2 linked regions of the Alligator mississippiensis genome follow. The protein of the gene in region 2 purifies or fractionates together with the protein of the main gene of each other region. This does not show direct contact. Links are inferred from orthologs where the notes say so. Each region holds a gene or a part of one and is shown on either strand. Other genes may lie near its edges. The genes, in order: GOLM1 and SLC7A14.

Region 1 (7,977 bases), on a different chromosome or scaffold from region 2:
TTGTGATCTGAACTGCTACTTGCAACAAGCAAGTTTTCAGAAGTACAATTTGAGAGTTTCCCTATAGAGAAATGGTTCTCAACTTTTTGTAGACTAGAGGCACCAGTCCATAACTTTTTTAAATGGGGTGCAGCTCAATTCACAAAACTACCTTATTACAGTGCATATCATCTTGAGGAAGGGCCAGGCAGTGAGGAAAAAGGAGCAGCCAGGCAGGGAGAGCCCAAACCTGCCCTTATGTACTTACCCTCTCACATGCCAGTAACACCCTGGTTGTGAATCACTGCTTTAGAGAGTACAGTAACCCACCAAGAATGTTATATCCTGCTTCCAAGAGGCTTGCTTGTTCTTTAAGAGCTCAGTGTAGTACTCTCACTTAGTGCCCCAAAGAGGCCAACTAATCCAACCACTCCTCTCAAATGAAGTTTATATGTAATTTTATGCTGCATTTTTCCTTCCCTCAGTAACAAATATCAGTATTATACCAGTTAAAGCAAAGTTAAAAAGAGGCAAGGCTCAGTGGTGGGTGATATAAGGAAGTTTACAAGAGGCAGATAGCTGACTGAATGATATTTTATCCAACTCCAAGGTACAAAAAAGCTCATTAATGAGGTTAACAGCTTGCTGAATATAAATGAAGTACTACAGTATTACTCAGAACTGATGCTGCTGAATATTTTGTCACAAATGGATATCAATTCCTTAGAAATTAAGGAATCTTCTACATGAGAAATGCCGCTTACAACTTAGAAAGCCATTACTCTGTCCCAGTGGTTCTCAGCTTTCTTAGCATCACAGCATCCCTATATAGTGTTAAAGAACTGCTCATAAAATGTTAGCTCTTAGCTGTCACTCATTTTTGGACTACAGAAAAATATAGTAATTCTTCTGTCACAGAGCCCTGAAAGACTACAACAGGTCAGAATGTGTTTAACACTGTGGATTCCTATTTGCAATCTCTGAGTTTATCTTTTGGATGATGCTTGCACACCTAACAGTGCTAACACAGTATGCAACCCTGCAGTACTGTTGAAAGGATCTCAAGGCATCCCAGGATGCCATGGCACCCTGACTGAAAACCACTGCTCTGTTCTACAAGCTAGAGATTTCTTCCTTCTATAAAACCATTTACATCATGGGAAATAGCATGTTTCTATCAGCCCCAACGCTGAAAGAAAAACAGACCTTCTACATGTACTGCACTTTAAAAATCCAAAACAGGTCTACAGAGAGAGTGCTGTACAGACATTCAGTTTCTCCTGGGAGAGCCACTACTCTGTCAGGAGAAACCATGAGCATACACATGCTTAGGCTTCTTCTCCCAAAATAGTTTTTTTTTCCCCAGGAGAAAAATAACTTGGGAACAAATCAGGGTTAAACTGCTCGCAGGAGAGCTTCTCCTGGAAGAGTGAATGTCTGTACATATCGTCTGTCTAAAGCAGGCATTTACACAGAAGGGAAGTTGCACAGGGGTGTAGCTGGGTGTATGCTGTTATATACCTAATGTCATCACCAACCACATTCATGAAAATACATCTCTTTGAACCAAGACTCAGGTAAGCCAAGCCCACACTTGGACAATGCTAAGCTCTGCCACTCTTCAGCACAGACAGACTTCCTGAAGAGGCTAACGAAGCAGCTGAAGAGGAGAATGACACAAACACATATCCACTTCGTGTCTAAGGCTGAGTCTATACCTACATGGGTCTACACAGGTGCAGATCTACCCTGCCCTCCGCTGGATTTCAGGCTAACAGGGCTAAGCGCCTCTCTCCACACACACAGACCCACCCACATAGACAGATGTGCGAGCACGCACCCACACACGCACAAGACACCTGTGTGGACATGTGGACAACCACATAGGTGTGATGCATGTGTGCTCACGCACACACAAGCGCGTGTCAGGTGCATGCCTGCCCACGCACACACGCGAGATGCAAGCATGCCCACGCGAGATATGAGCACGCCCACGAACACACAAACACAAGATGCATGTGTGAGCACGCTCACACACACTTGAGATGCGAGCATGCCCATGTGCACACACGCGCACACAAGACACGGGTGCGCCCACACGTGTGACACGCATGTGCACACACGACAGGTGCACGCGTGCCCACGTACGAGACATGCACGCCCACGCAACACACCCAAATGAGATGCATGTGCCCATGCAACACGCACACGCAACAGGTGTGTGCCCCCCCCGCACACCCACGAGAGACGTGTGCAAGCACAACACATGACTGACACATGCACAGGGCACGATCGGCATGAGTGCACATGCACACACACACACGACAGACACACGAGTGCACGCGGCACACGCACGTAGTCCCCCGCACAAGACGCAGGTGAAGAGGCGGCCTCCCCCCGCGCACCCGCACCCGCGCGGAGGTCCCGGCCCCGGCGTGCTCGTTTCCCGCGGGCTCCCGCCCCCAAGTCACCTTCTCCCTGCTCGGGGCCGGGCCGGGCCGGGCCGGGCCGGGGAGGGGAGTCCCCCCTGCCCCCGGCTTGGCGCGGCTTGGCGTGGAGCTGCGGCTCCGCCGAGACAAAGAGCGGGGCGGCGGGTGGACGGGCAGGGCGCTGCGCCGCGCTCACCTCTCCCAAGCCGGGCCGGGCTGCTTCGCGCGCGCCCGCCCCACGGCCGGCAGGGAGGCGGCGCCGCGGGCAGGGCAGGGCAGCGCAGCGCAGCGCAGCGCAGGAAGTGCGGCGGGAGGAGGGCGAAGGCAGCCTGCCAATGGCGGCCAGGTCGGGCGCCCCCCTCCCTCGGCGCGGGACAGCCCCTCAGCGCGCCGCCTCGTCGGCTCCCCGCCCGGCGCCGCCTCAGTGCCCGCCGCCAGCTCCCCCCGGCCATGTGGGCTCTGGCCGCTCGGCACAGCCCGCGCGGGGGAGATGCCGCTGGCAGCCTGGCCTGGGCAAAGCAGGAGGCACTTGGCCACAGGCTCTGGCCCTTGGCTGTAGCTGAGGGAAAGCGGGGTGAGATCGGTACCTTGCAGAGCAGAGCTGGGTCCATCAGCTTTGGTCAGCAGCAGCAGCTTGCTCCAGGGGGTGCCCCAAAGACACTCCTAGGGCATGGGCGAGGCGTAGGGGTGCACATGCACCCCCCGTGATTGGCTGCCACCAACGCTGCAGGTGGTCACCGACTGCAGGTCAGCGCTCGCCTACTCCGCCCCCCGAGTCGCCTCCCCTGCTCCCCCTCCCCCGGCAGCTGACACTGCTGTGGCCACCAGTGGGCAGTCACCAGGCCCCCCCAAACTCCAGGGGCATGCATCGTTCATGGCCCTGGGAGAAGTCGGGCTGGAAGGGACCTCCCAGAGGTCACCTAGTCCAGCACCCCTGCCTGAGGCAGGACCATCCCTGTCTAAACTTTCCCACACACATCCTTCATCTAAACTAGTGCTTCTCAAACTTTTCTTCTCCATTTATGGCCCCTTTTCCTCAGCATGACCCCTTGCTCCCCACCCCCATGACCCCATCCACTGATATATGCAACCTCATTTGGAGTCAAGACCCAGTTTGGGAATCGCTGATCTAAAAACACTTCACAAGACTGCCTTGTGCCCTGACGCAACACATGCCTCAACAACTTCACCTGCCACAGGTAAAGCAGGGGAACCCTTACAACCAATGTCTCCTGCCTAATGCCTGACTTGAGACTATCAGGACTGGCTGCTGCTAATCCTGCTAAGAGTGTTATGAGCCCCAGTTACAATCAAATCTTGTGGTTTCAGACCCTGGTTTCACAAAAGCCCTCCAAAAAGGCCAAGACTGCTATTGTTACAGTGTCACTGGTGTGATTTTTATTATGGACAAAAGCAACAACTCAATTAATGCCAGCTAGATCCATACCACAGACTTACAGTTGGGGGAAAAAGAATCTCCATTATCCCATTCTTCCTAATGTCTTGAAGCTTTGTGTGAGGGAATATTTCCTTTTAACGTTCTGAAGAGTAATAAACTTCATGTTTTAAAATGTGTTACATCACCAGCCAGCACCATCCCCTAGCCTGTATGTCTGCAGTCTAAATTGAGAGAGACATAAAAAAAAAATAAAAATAACTGCTATAGTCCAAGCTTTCAACAATTATTATTGATTGGGCAGGCCTCAGTATCTTGAGCTTGATGCCTGACACACATGAATGTCTGACAAACGGAGCATCCACACAACCCAGAAAACTAAAAGCCAATGTTAGAAAAAAAGGGGTCCACACTATTTACATTTCTGAGGAAGAGAGCCATCTGGATGCAGCTGAGTATTTCACGTGCTTATGTAACACCATGAATTGATTCAGAACATTTTTTTTCAATATGTTTTGGAATCATGTAAAACTTTCACTACAATTCTGGTGAAAAACAAACTTTTTATGAGTGTGTAAGACTGAGGGAAGGGGTGCAACAGCAACCATTCCTCAACCAGTTGGAACCCCAATTTGTTAGCTTTGCTTCCACATCCTGTTTTCCTTTCAAGATGGGACAGACAGAATAGAACAGCAGAGGGAAAGAAGCTTGTAAAACTACTCAAATGCATCATTATGTGGACAATAAAGTATGTGAAGAAGTTTGAAAATTATTCGCAGAAATAAATTATTTTGAGATAAAATGTCTCCTGTGGATTCTTACCTAGGAGGTTTAATAAAAAGATTCCAATTTCTGTTGGAACGAACAGTTTAATAAAAATTCATATGCTGCAGTGCCAAGCTTCAAAAAACCGTCAGGTTGGATCTGGATTCTCATTCCCAGTTTCTTATCCAAAGACCTTTAAAAAAATAGAAATTTAACCAAAATAATTTGAATTTATTTATATAAATTTATATTCATATTTATTAATTGGATTGTTCAAAGTAAGGAACTGGACTTCGAGTGGCTGTAAGTGAAAAGAAATACCTAAAGGATCATCTTCAATGTAATGTCCCTTGTGTCCTCAGACTTTTAAGCTATCTGGCGGATGTCATTCCCTACCTTGGAGCTTTTTTCTTTGTGAAATTAGCAGGCTATATCACCAGCTTCCACCACCCAGCACACATGTACGTACACATACTGAGTTGTATTTTGAATAAGAAACTGGATTTTTAACCCCCACATAAATGATGAAATACTCCTTGGATCACACTAAAGTTATGTAGTGCTATATCACCCCTCCAAAATCCTTACCAACCTGAAGCAGACATAAGCCTTTTTATAATAGGTGCTGTGCTTTTAAAACACTATGAGACAAGGACATTTTACTATGCTTGTACAGCACTTAGCACAATGGAAACTCATTCCTGCCCCAAGGCAATTTAAATATAATAAGTAAAGGTGTGCTCAAATACTGTATGCGCCTACTCTTCATGCTCGTGTTACTCAGCTGAGTGTCTGCCCTAGTAACTCTATTGATAACGCATCTTAATTTTCTCTCTGCTAGACGTGAAAAGGATAAAATCAGTTAGGAAAAAATATCACATCAAATCCTAGCATGTTGATGCCACTGACTTTTCAGCAAGGCCAGGATTTCTCCTCACATTTTCAAGCTAAAAGAAGAGAGGGAAAAGTTCAAAATGTTTTAAAATTAAAAGGATAGCCCTTTTAATTGGTTTTTACCTTAGAATTGTACTCTTTAACAGCATACGTTTGAAGATGTACAAGGAACACTGTTCTTTTAAAGTATTGTAAAAATTCTTTGGAGCCTGTGTCAATGAGATTCTCAAATGAAGCCAATTGTATGCATGGAAATATTATATAAAAAGGGTGCAGCAAGGTAAGAATATCGCTGCAAAGATGACTGGGAGCAAGGTTAACCATTTTAAGGAAGGAGTGGGAGTAGGACTTTCAGTAGAGGTGTGACTCTCATAATATTAGTAATGGTTATTTATGGACTAGTCACAGTTGAGATACCTAGTAGGTAGGTACAACCCTGATGCAGTTGAGGCAAAACCAATTTCACTCTTAGAAGTTCAAACTTTTAACAATGCTAGCCACTTGCTGAGCAGAAGTATCATGTAAAAGTCCTTAGGGTTGAAAAGCATAGCCTTCATTTCATCAATTAGCACTGCTACTGCTACATCGGAGCCTAAACACAGCACCTACCTAAAGAGTAGGTGCTGATCAAACGAATATGTCCCCTTAAGAAAAAAAAAAACAAAGCAAAAGGCATTCCAATGTTGAAGAAAGAATATGTTTCTGCTTAAAGACACTATGCAAATTGATCAAGGACAGTTCATCCATGTGAAAAGATTATCTTAAAGTTTAGAAAGAACCATGACTCCAAGAAGTAGCTGACATATAAATGCTTGACACGTACAGTCTAGCATCTTTAAATATTTATCAGGCCTGTTTTATATATTCTGTGCTTTATGAAAGGTTTCTATCATTTCCATTAATGAATCAAAGTTCTAAGTCTATGCAAAATAATGTGTTCCCTTTTTCCTCACATTCTGCTGTCTTCTAACTTTGCTCTCTGCTCTTATCCTGCCAATTTTGCCATTAGGCAGTAAATAATTTATGTTATTAAAACCCAGGAGGATGAGTTACACACACGTTGCACCTAAAAGCCACATTTTGATCATGTAAAAGACATAGGGTCCTTGTGAAAGTTAGCTATATAGGAAAGCAATATTATATTTATTGGTCTTGGAGACTGTCCTCATGGAATATATACAAAATACAGAAAATACCTTCTTTTCAGAATCGTGTATCCACCACTGTTACCAGAATACAATAATGCCTTTGTAAGAGGTCACTTCTACTGAAATTCACTCCTCCCTTAAACTAAGTTGTCAACCAAGCATACCTAAGAGTTACTGATGTAGTGTTAGTCTTAACCTTGAACTTCCTTGTTCTGTCCATGTATTAGACATGCACACACATAGGCACAAAAAGAGGGAAGAACAATAGCACATGAGAAAATACAGTTTCTGTCTGTAACAGATACAGTGATTTCCAGTGACTGGAAAACTGCAGGCACAGCTTATCATATGTGAATTTATTACCTATTCCAGAACTTGGCATACTGAATCAGAATGTTGCAGCAATGTGTATAGCTTGCCTTTTTGGTCATAGCCAAAGTGATGTTTGTTCTGAATGGCTAAGCTAAATTCTTATTACACAAGGATAAAGAGACAAAAGGAAAAAAGTGCAAAAGAAAGGATGAAGGTGAAGAAAGAAACAAACAAGTTAGAGATTGTGTAAGGGTAGATACTTTGTGTTCACATCTGAGTTATTGTTTAAGATTTAGCCAACACAATGACCTCAACTTGCTCTTTCTGTCTTAGCCAAAATCCTGGGTGCAGTCAATGGAAATGTAATCATTGACTTCAGTGGAGACAGGGTTTTACCCCTTGTCAGAACATTTGTAAGGATCATGGTAAAAAAAGATGGTAAATTATAGGGTCCCATACATGAACGACGCGTGCCCCCAGGGGCTGGGGGGCACAGTGACTGCCTGCAGGCAGCGGCGGTAGCAATGCGCGAGGAGCTCCTGCAAGCAGCCGTAGCAGTGTCAGCAGCGGGGGAAGAGGTGGCGAGCGCTGACTGGCAGTTGGCAACCACCTGCAGACGTCACCAGCAGAGTCGGCGGCAAGGGCAGGTGGTGAGCAGCAACCGCCCACAGGCACCACCAGCAGCATCAGCAGCACTTGTTGGAGGTGCACCACCAATCTCACGGAGTGCACTTGCAACTGTGTGCACCCCCTATGCATTACCAATGGTCCCACACGTGGTAGTAATGCCTGCTAATTCTCTTTGACATCTATAAACTTAGTGCTAATGTTCTTCCTCCCTGAACCAAAAAAACAAAAGTTCTTTAGAAGGGATATATCTAAAAGGGGCTGGACTCACCAAATACCAAATCAGGACAAAAACCCAGTGTTAAGAGGCCCTTCCTTCTTCTTAATGACGATCTGCTCAGTTGCTCAACCAATATTGTAATTTCACCAGGAGCTGTCTCTATCTCATTCCTTGTCTATCTAAGTATACACCTTCAGGCAACAGGCC
Region 2 (7,751 bases):
TGTCTTATTTCTAATTTGAATTTGACTGGCTCTGGTTTGTTCCTATTGCACATTTTTTGTCTTTGTCTTTTTTTTTTTTTACTAGGAAAAACACAGCCCTTTAGTAGCCAGTATTTGTTTCCTGTGTAGATATTTACATATCGTAAATGTGCCCGTCAGTCATCTTTTTGATTATCTATGCAGGTGGATCTCTTTAGTTCTCACAGGGCATGTCTACACATGCATTAAGGTGCTTCTTCTAATGCACATTCAATTTAGTACTCCAATGTGAGGGACTAAAGAAATGTGCATTAGGCTTCCTTAATATGCAGTAACAAATGTGCACTGTTTTTAAGTGATACTTAATGTGATGCCTATTTTACTGTGCATTAGTTGTCATTGTAGTTTTTTATGTGATACTTTAATAAGCAGTAAAATAGCTGACTGTGCATTAAAATGCACTTGTAGACATTCCCACACTGTACAGCATTTTCTCCACCCCTCAAATTATTTGGTGACACTTTCTTGAAGTCTCTTAATTTTTCAGACTTCCTCTTTAAAATGTGGACATCAGAACTGTACACAATGTCCCAGTATCAGTTTCACAATGCTATGTGCAAGAGTAAAATCACCTCCCTGCTCCAAGTCACCGCTCCCCTGTTTATACAAATATTTAATGTGCTCCTTTTGCCTCAAGTGGCACTTAACTCGCTTGTCTCCTCAGATCTTTTTTAGAGTCACTGCATTCTGCATATGTAGTCTGCATTCCTTTTTCTGGAGGAATAACTTCATATATGGGGATATTAAAACATTCTGTTTAAATGGGACCTGCTTACTAGGTGATCCAAATTACTGTTTGATTTTCCTGCCCTCATAATTATTTGCTACTCTGTTGATCTTTGAGCTATCTGCAAAGTTTATCAAAAGTGATTATGTTTGTTTAAAGATCGCTGATGAAAATGTGCAGTAGCAGTGGGCCTAGTAGTGATCCCCAAGGAACTGCAGAAACCCACCCATTCAACAAATAGTCCCAAATGACAACTGCTTTTTGAGTCTGGTTAGTTAGTCAGGTCTTAAGCTAGATAATGTGCACTCTAATGATATTGTTTGGTACTATTTTTTTTATTTGGAAGGTGTCAGTGTTCAGTCAAACACCTTACACAAAGTTAAATACAATACATCTATGCACTTACTTTCATTAACCAAACTCAGATGACAAATTGAACAATGTCATTGAACAAATGTCATGGTAAAATTTACTTGCCTACTACTTGGGAATGTTGAGAGGATGAGTTAAATAATGGGCCAGATTAATGTCATTAAGCCATACCTCCCTGAGCAGGGCCAATTTGCATCAGTGGACAGGAGTTTTCCCTTGGGGTGGCAAATGTTACTATTGCTTTTTTAACTTTTTAAAATTTTGGAGGATTTGAGGAACAGGATTCAGAGGTTCCACTGGAACCCAGCAGACAACAACCTAAAACAGCTTGTGCAAACCATGAGAAGACTGTACCTGAGGAGAAAGCGACCTCCTGTTTAACTAGTTTTGAACAGAAATGGGAGGATTTTCAAAGTATTTTAAGCAGATGAAAAGGGCTGGCTATATGGCAGGTAAGATGGGACCCTGGAGTCACCTCAGGGTGAATGTGACCACTACTGCTTACACTCTTTGAAAACTGGGAGCATCAAGCCACACATTTGGGAGCTCATCCTTTTCTTAACAATGTCAGGCTGTTTTCTTCCTGTTATCCATAGAATGGCTTTCTTAACTTAAAGGTGTTTGTACTTTAAATATTCCTGGCTAGCAGAGCCTTTTACTGATGTGAAAAATGAGGGTTTCAGCACCTCGAACAGCGCCCACATCTACTACTTATTCTGTAGTGCACTTCTGGGCTCTTTCAACCCATGTTTATAAATAAATATTCAGCTTTATAGAGCCCTTTTCATCCCCAAAATTCTGTGAAACCATCAGCTAACCTATTTAACTTCCATGATAGATAGATAGATAGATAGATAGATAGATAGATAGATAGATAGATAGATAATTATATCTCAGACTAATGAGCTGAGACAGAGAGAGAACTTGTGGCTATGACAAGAACAGATTTCAAGTCCATCAACCACAATCCAGGTTTTTGAAAAAAAGGAGATGAATCATTTTTCACATCAAGCAAAATTAGCCCTTCTCTGAGGCCTCTCCATTTTGCCGGCAACTAATGACGTCCAGTCCCTTTCCACAGGAGGACTTGTCTTACGGCAAGGGAGATAAATCACACGGCGAGCCTGCCAGGTAGCTGTAACCAGCCATTCACTTTCTGTGCCTGCTTTACAATCTCTTTCTCTCCTGTCCTACCCGTTACCTGCCTCCTTGACATCCTATAGCCCTTTCAGGCCTGGACACCCCTTCTCAGCACCGTCTTATTTTGGACAAGACAAGCCAGGACAAGAAAGCAGCGCTGGGCCTGGACCGTTTCTGTCAGATCCGCTGGTATTTATCCATTCGCTCTGCATCTCGCTCGGCTTCCTATTCATCCTGAGCTCATCCGACTTCAACCCATCACGTCCCCTGCTCCCTTTCACCGCGCAGCCTTGAGACCCACACGAGTCCCTGGGACCCCCCCCCCCTCCGTTTGGCGGCCCCTCAGCCAAGAGAAGCAAGCAAAGAGACATCCATTCACTGATGCCGGGGTTGGAAAGGACCTCAACGGATCATGGAGTCCGACCCCCTGCCCTGGGCGGGAAAGAGCGCTGGGGTCAGACGCCCCCCCAGAGACGGGCCCACGCGGCGATGCCTCGCTGGCCAAGGGGAGCAAAGGGACAGGGACACCGCCTCGTCCTGGGGGCAGACCCCAGCGTCCCTCCCAACTTGGCCAGACCCCCTGCATCCCGCTTGCGCCCCAGCAGGAAAGTGGTGGCCACCCCCGCCCCACAGGGCAGCCCCAGGTGCGCGGTCCCCCGTCCCCGCAGGCACTCACCCGGCGCGGGAGGCCGCTGGGCAGGGCAGGGCAGGGCAGGGCTGCGGCGCGGCGCGGCGCGGTGCGCTCGGTGCCGGGGGAGCTGCGTGCGCGGGGAGACGCGGCTCCGCGCTGCCGCCGGCCGAGGCTGCAGCGGGCTGCGGGCGGGCGGGCGGGCGGGCGGGGCGGGCTGGCTCCAGCCCGGGCTGCGGGCGGGCGGGGAGGCGGCGCTGCAGCTCCTCAATTATTCAGAGCTTCCCCCGCCACGTGATCCGCCCGCGCCGCAGGTCCCGCCTGCCCGCCCCGCACCGGGGTCTCGCACTGCCCCTGCGAGCCCTGCCCTTGCCTCGGCGCAAGGGATACGCCCCATCTTTGCGAGAAGACACACCAGGCACTGCGACCCTCCGCGGGGTCTGGCTGCCGCGGGCGCGCTGGGGGCTGCGGAGGAAGCTGCGCCGCTCACCTGTGCCCCCAGCATCTGTCTCTGGCGCGGCAGCTGCCCATTGCCTGCCCTGGGAATGGCCTTTCCCAGGTGCCTTGCAGAGGGAGCGTGAGGTCTCTCAAAGAGGGCGAGGGGCCCCTCTCCTCTCCTCTCCTCTCCTCTCCTCTCCTGGAGCTCGGCTACCCTGTACAATTCAGGCCACAGGTTTCATGGCTTCTAGGGTCAGAAGGGACCTGAACAGATCATCAAGTCCGAGCCCCTGCCCTGGGAAGGAACGAGCGCTGGGATCGTAATACCCCAGCCAGGTATCTATCCAACTGCCTCTTGAATGTCTCAAACACACAAAGGCGTTTCGGTCACATGCTGGACGCTGTGTCTTTCCCTGCTTTAGTCCTGACCCACGGAAAGAGATTCTGGGATCTGCTGGGGCTTGGTCTGAAGTTACTCCCCATCCCCTCAACGCCTGCTCCTTGCGCGCTAGCCCACTGTGTTACATTTTGGTCGGTGATTGTGGTTTGCCTTATTGGAAAGATAGGGTCCACTTGCCAAATACAGGGCCAGGTTTTGAACACACTCTTGTTTTGTGTTGGGAAGTTTGGGCTGCGATGAACGTTCTCGGCCTCTTGTCGGTCATTTGCTTCTCAGCCTCTTGTCAGCTCAGATCAAGTGTATTTCCCATTGCCTTTTTTCATTTAGTGTCTGCACTGAATTCTTGCCACCTTCTTTGAACCCTTCCATAAATTTCCACTTTCCCTTATTCATTTGTTTAATATCTTTGAAAACAATCTGGAACATGGGGTGGAGCGCACCCTCAGCAAGTTTGCAGATGACACCAAGCTGGGGGCACTAGTAGATATGCTGGAGGGTAGGGCTAGGATTCAGAGACCTCAAATAACTGAAGGACTGGACCAGAAGAAATATCATGAGGTTCAATAAGGACAAATGCAAAGTCCTGCGCTTAGGATGGATCAGTCCCATGCAGTAGTACAGGCTGGAGGGCGATTGGCTAAGTAGCAACTCTGCAGAAAAAGACCTGGGGGTTACAGTGGACAATAAGCTGAATATGAACCAACAGTGTGCCTTTGCTGCAAATAAGTCTAACGGTGTACTGGGCTGCATTAGTGACAGCGCTGCCAGCAGAGTAGGGGAAATGATTCTTCCCCTCTATCTGGCACTGGTGAGGCCACATCTGAAGTACTGTGTCCAGTTTTGCACCCCCCCCCGCCCCCCGCGCTACATAAAGTATGTGAACAAATTGGAGAGAGTCCAGTGGATAGCATGGAGAATGGTTCAGGGTCTGGGGCACATGACTTATGAGAAGAGACTGAGGGAACTGGGCTCATTTAGTCTAGAAAAGAGAAAATTGAGAGGGGATTTAATAGCAGTCTTAAACTACCAGAAGTGGGGTTCAAAATAGGATACAGTTGGACTGTTCTCAGTGATGTCAGATGACAGAACAAGGAGCAACGGTCTCAAGTTGCAGCGAGGGAAGTTTAGTTTAGATATTAGGAAAAACTTTCTCGCAAGGAGGGTAGTAAAGCGCTGGAACAGGTTACCCAGAGAAGTTGTGGAACCTCCATGCTTGGAGTTTTTTAAGACCTGGTTAGACAAAACCTTGGCTGGGATGATTTAGTTGGGGTTGGTCCTGCTTTGAGCAGGGGGTTGGATTAGATGACCTCCTAAGGTCCCTTCCAACTCTAATTTTCTGTGCTTCTATGCTCCTGCCATTTTGACATGAAATCCAGATGTCCTCATTTCCAGCTGCTGCAGAGCAGTCATACTCTGTTTGATTTGCTTTGTCAGCAATATCTGAATAATTCAGTTTCCATAAAAATATTGAGCTATAAATTTGAATGTAGGCCATTGTCAAGTCTGTATGCTGGGCTGGAAAGATGTGGAAAGCAGGTATTATTTTTCTCCAGGCCCTGAAACAAAAATGATTCATGACTAAAAACAACAGTGAGCTCCTTTCTCTTTAGGAATCTAGTCTTTGCCTTCCCTGAATAGGGCATGATGGATAGTGTCTCAGCAACAGTGACTCTTGGGCACAAACTCTAGGGACAGTTATAGCTTTTAGAGTTATAGTTTCCCAATGAGTCATAAAGGTCATGAGGCCATATGCTGAGTGGTATTCTCTATGGCTTCCCAGAAGACCATAGTTTCCCAGTCCCCTATCTGTCCCATAGTTTCTGCATCTCTTCTTGGCTTTAACTCATATTCCTCTCATCCTTAAAGCAACCGCCATACTTCCAACTGACAAAGATTAAACAGAATTCCCTTCCAGACTGTTTCTTGGTCAACTGGAGGTATCAACACAGAATGACACGAATTGTTCCTTTCTTGTAGAACTTCTGAACTCTGCAGGCCTGGACAGTGAGACCGAAAGGTGCATCTCAAGCATAGAAGTACAGAACAATCCTTGATCTCCCTCACAACTCACAGCTTTGCAAACACCATGCAGTGGATTTTGTTGTCTTCCTTGTTCTTTAGTAGTATTAAAAAGAGCAAAGCTTAGAGCTAGAGATGCAGCCCTTTGTACACTTGGATTGTTTTCCCTGCTTTTCCATTCTTTCATGGTTCCTTTCTTGTTTCTCTGCTGTTTATATGATTCTTTTTCACTTCCACGCCCTTCACTTTTTGACTCAGTTCATGGGCAACAAAATGAAACGTACCGTGTGCAATTGCTGATCCCTGATCTTGTGAGTTTTACTTTGATGTTGCTATACAGACAAGCATAGAGTAGGAGGAGAGCAAATCCAAGCAAAAGAAAAATACTTCTTGTGGTGCTCTGTATGATTATACAGTACTTCTAATAGTTTCATGGATTAGAACTCAGTGTTGTGAGCCTTTTATGCTCATGTCAAATTCCTTTGTGCCTGTTCAGTGTGTGACTATATGATACTTATATCTTATATATATTTCTTAAATGATGGTTATTGTCAACAATTCAGGCCAAATTGTGTTGTGAGTTACTCCAGTTTGTAAATCCAGAGTAATTCCACTGGCTTTACCTGGGCAGGTTGTTGTAAGTGAGACCAGAACTGCTCAGTAAGGAGGCTACCTGGCAATAGTGTACTTTTTTCGCAGGTGTGTGTGTACATTTTGGTAGGTGTCTGAAAGAGGGGACACTGAGTATGCCTTAGAGCAGTGGTTTTCAACTTGTTGTCTGCAGACCCCCGAGGGTCTGCACACTGTGCGTAAGGGGTCTGAGAAAAATGACTATGATCAATCAAAAGTATGAGAATACACACACTTACAGTTCAAAAGAGTCTGTATCTCCATTTGAAATTTCCGAAGGGGTCTGTACCTCCATTCAAATTTTTTTAAGGGACCACAAATGAAAAAAGGTTGAAAACTACCGCCTTAAAATAAATCCACATTCTGCAATATCAAAAGATCATTTTCATTTTCTAATCCCCTTGTGACTCCTGTCCCCTATTGCTCTCAGTCATTTTGCTGTAGCATTTCTCCAGGCTTCTATTGCAGCTTAGCTCCTCTATGTTTGCTCCTGCTTCATCCAACATTAGCTATCACTAGCCATCCAGACCACTCCTGACCCCATATCCTTTTTTTTATAATGAAGGAATGATTCTTTGTCTGAAGCCCTTATAAGCTCTTGATGATTTAATCCTTTTTTTTTTCTTTAGTTACTTTATTTAAATCTCATTGAAATCTAAAATTTCCCTAGATGCCTCTTTAAAGTCTAAAGGTGTCTAAATTTGGATAAACTTGGATCTGTCAGGGACATAAAACTTTCTATACCAAGCCAATGATCCCTACACACCAATATCCCTGCTCAGAAAATGGCCAGTATGAGAATCCCCATAATGGGCAATTATGCAAACATTCCTCTCAAGCCCAGGTGGTCAGTGGATTATGTACCAAATTAGGAGAGATGATTTATTTTACAAAGTTTTATGTAATCACAGACAATATTCTCACCATTCTTTTAAATGGCAAATCTTTATTTGAACTCTATTAAGGTCTTGGCCTCAATGGTATCTTGTGGCAATGAGCTCCACAAGTTAATCATTTACTGTATCAAGCAGATTTAGGGATATGGCCTTTCCAGTTGCTCAGGCTGTCTCCATGTTATCTTCTAACACTGAATAAACATAAGCAGGAACACCCAATTGATTTTTCTCTCTTCCCTTCATTATCTTGTTTACCCCTCTTATAACCCTTATGTAACTAAACAGTCCTAACCTTATAAGCATTACAGGATGTTCAGCTGTCTGGACTATTTACATGTCTGCAGGCTTTTATTAATTTATGACATTGCAAATAGTTTGAGCCTATTTCCCTTCTAGCTCCTCAAGGCTTTTTAATATCCTCTATCCCCAGAGCTTTTTTCCATGCAAGGAAATTCCTGAAAT

What was found.
Region 1: the proteins of SLC7A14 (region 2) and GOLM1 purify together in Homo sapiens (co-immunoprecipitation; 3 studies listed by BioGRID and IntAct, with this or other methods). This does not show direct contact. The link is inferred for Alligator mississippiensis from reciprocal best matches to the Homo sapiens genes SLC7A14 and GOLM1.

Annotation. Positions count from the first base shown.
Region 1 is NC_081826.1:204,365,030-204,373,006, forward strand, and holds the start of GOLM1 (Golgi membrane protein 1), read right to left. Parts: upstream 3,082-7,977; 5' UTR 2,996-3,081; intron 2,712-2,995; exon of another isoform or gene 2,605-2,711; intron 2,594-2,604; exon of another isoform or gene 2,451-2,593; intron 1-2,450.
Region 2 is NC_081830.1:75,001,809-75,009,559, forward strand, and holds the start of SLC7A14 (probable cationic amino acid transporter), read right to left. Parts: upstream 3,054-7,751; 5' UTR 2,955-3,053; intron 1-2,954. UniProt on the Homo sapiens protein: Imports 4-aminobutanoate (GABA) into lysosomes. May act as a GABA sensor that regulates mTORC2-dependent INS signaling and gluconeogenesis. The transport mechanism and substrate selectivity remain to be elucidated.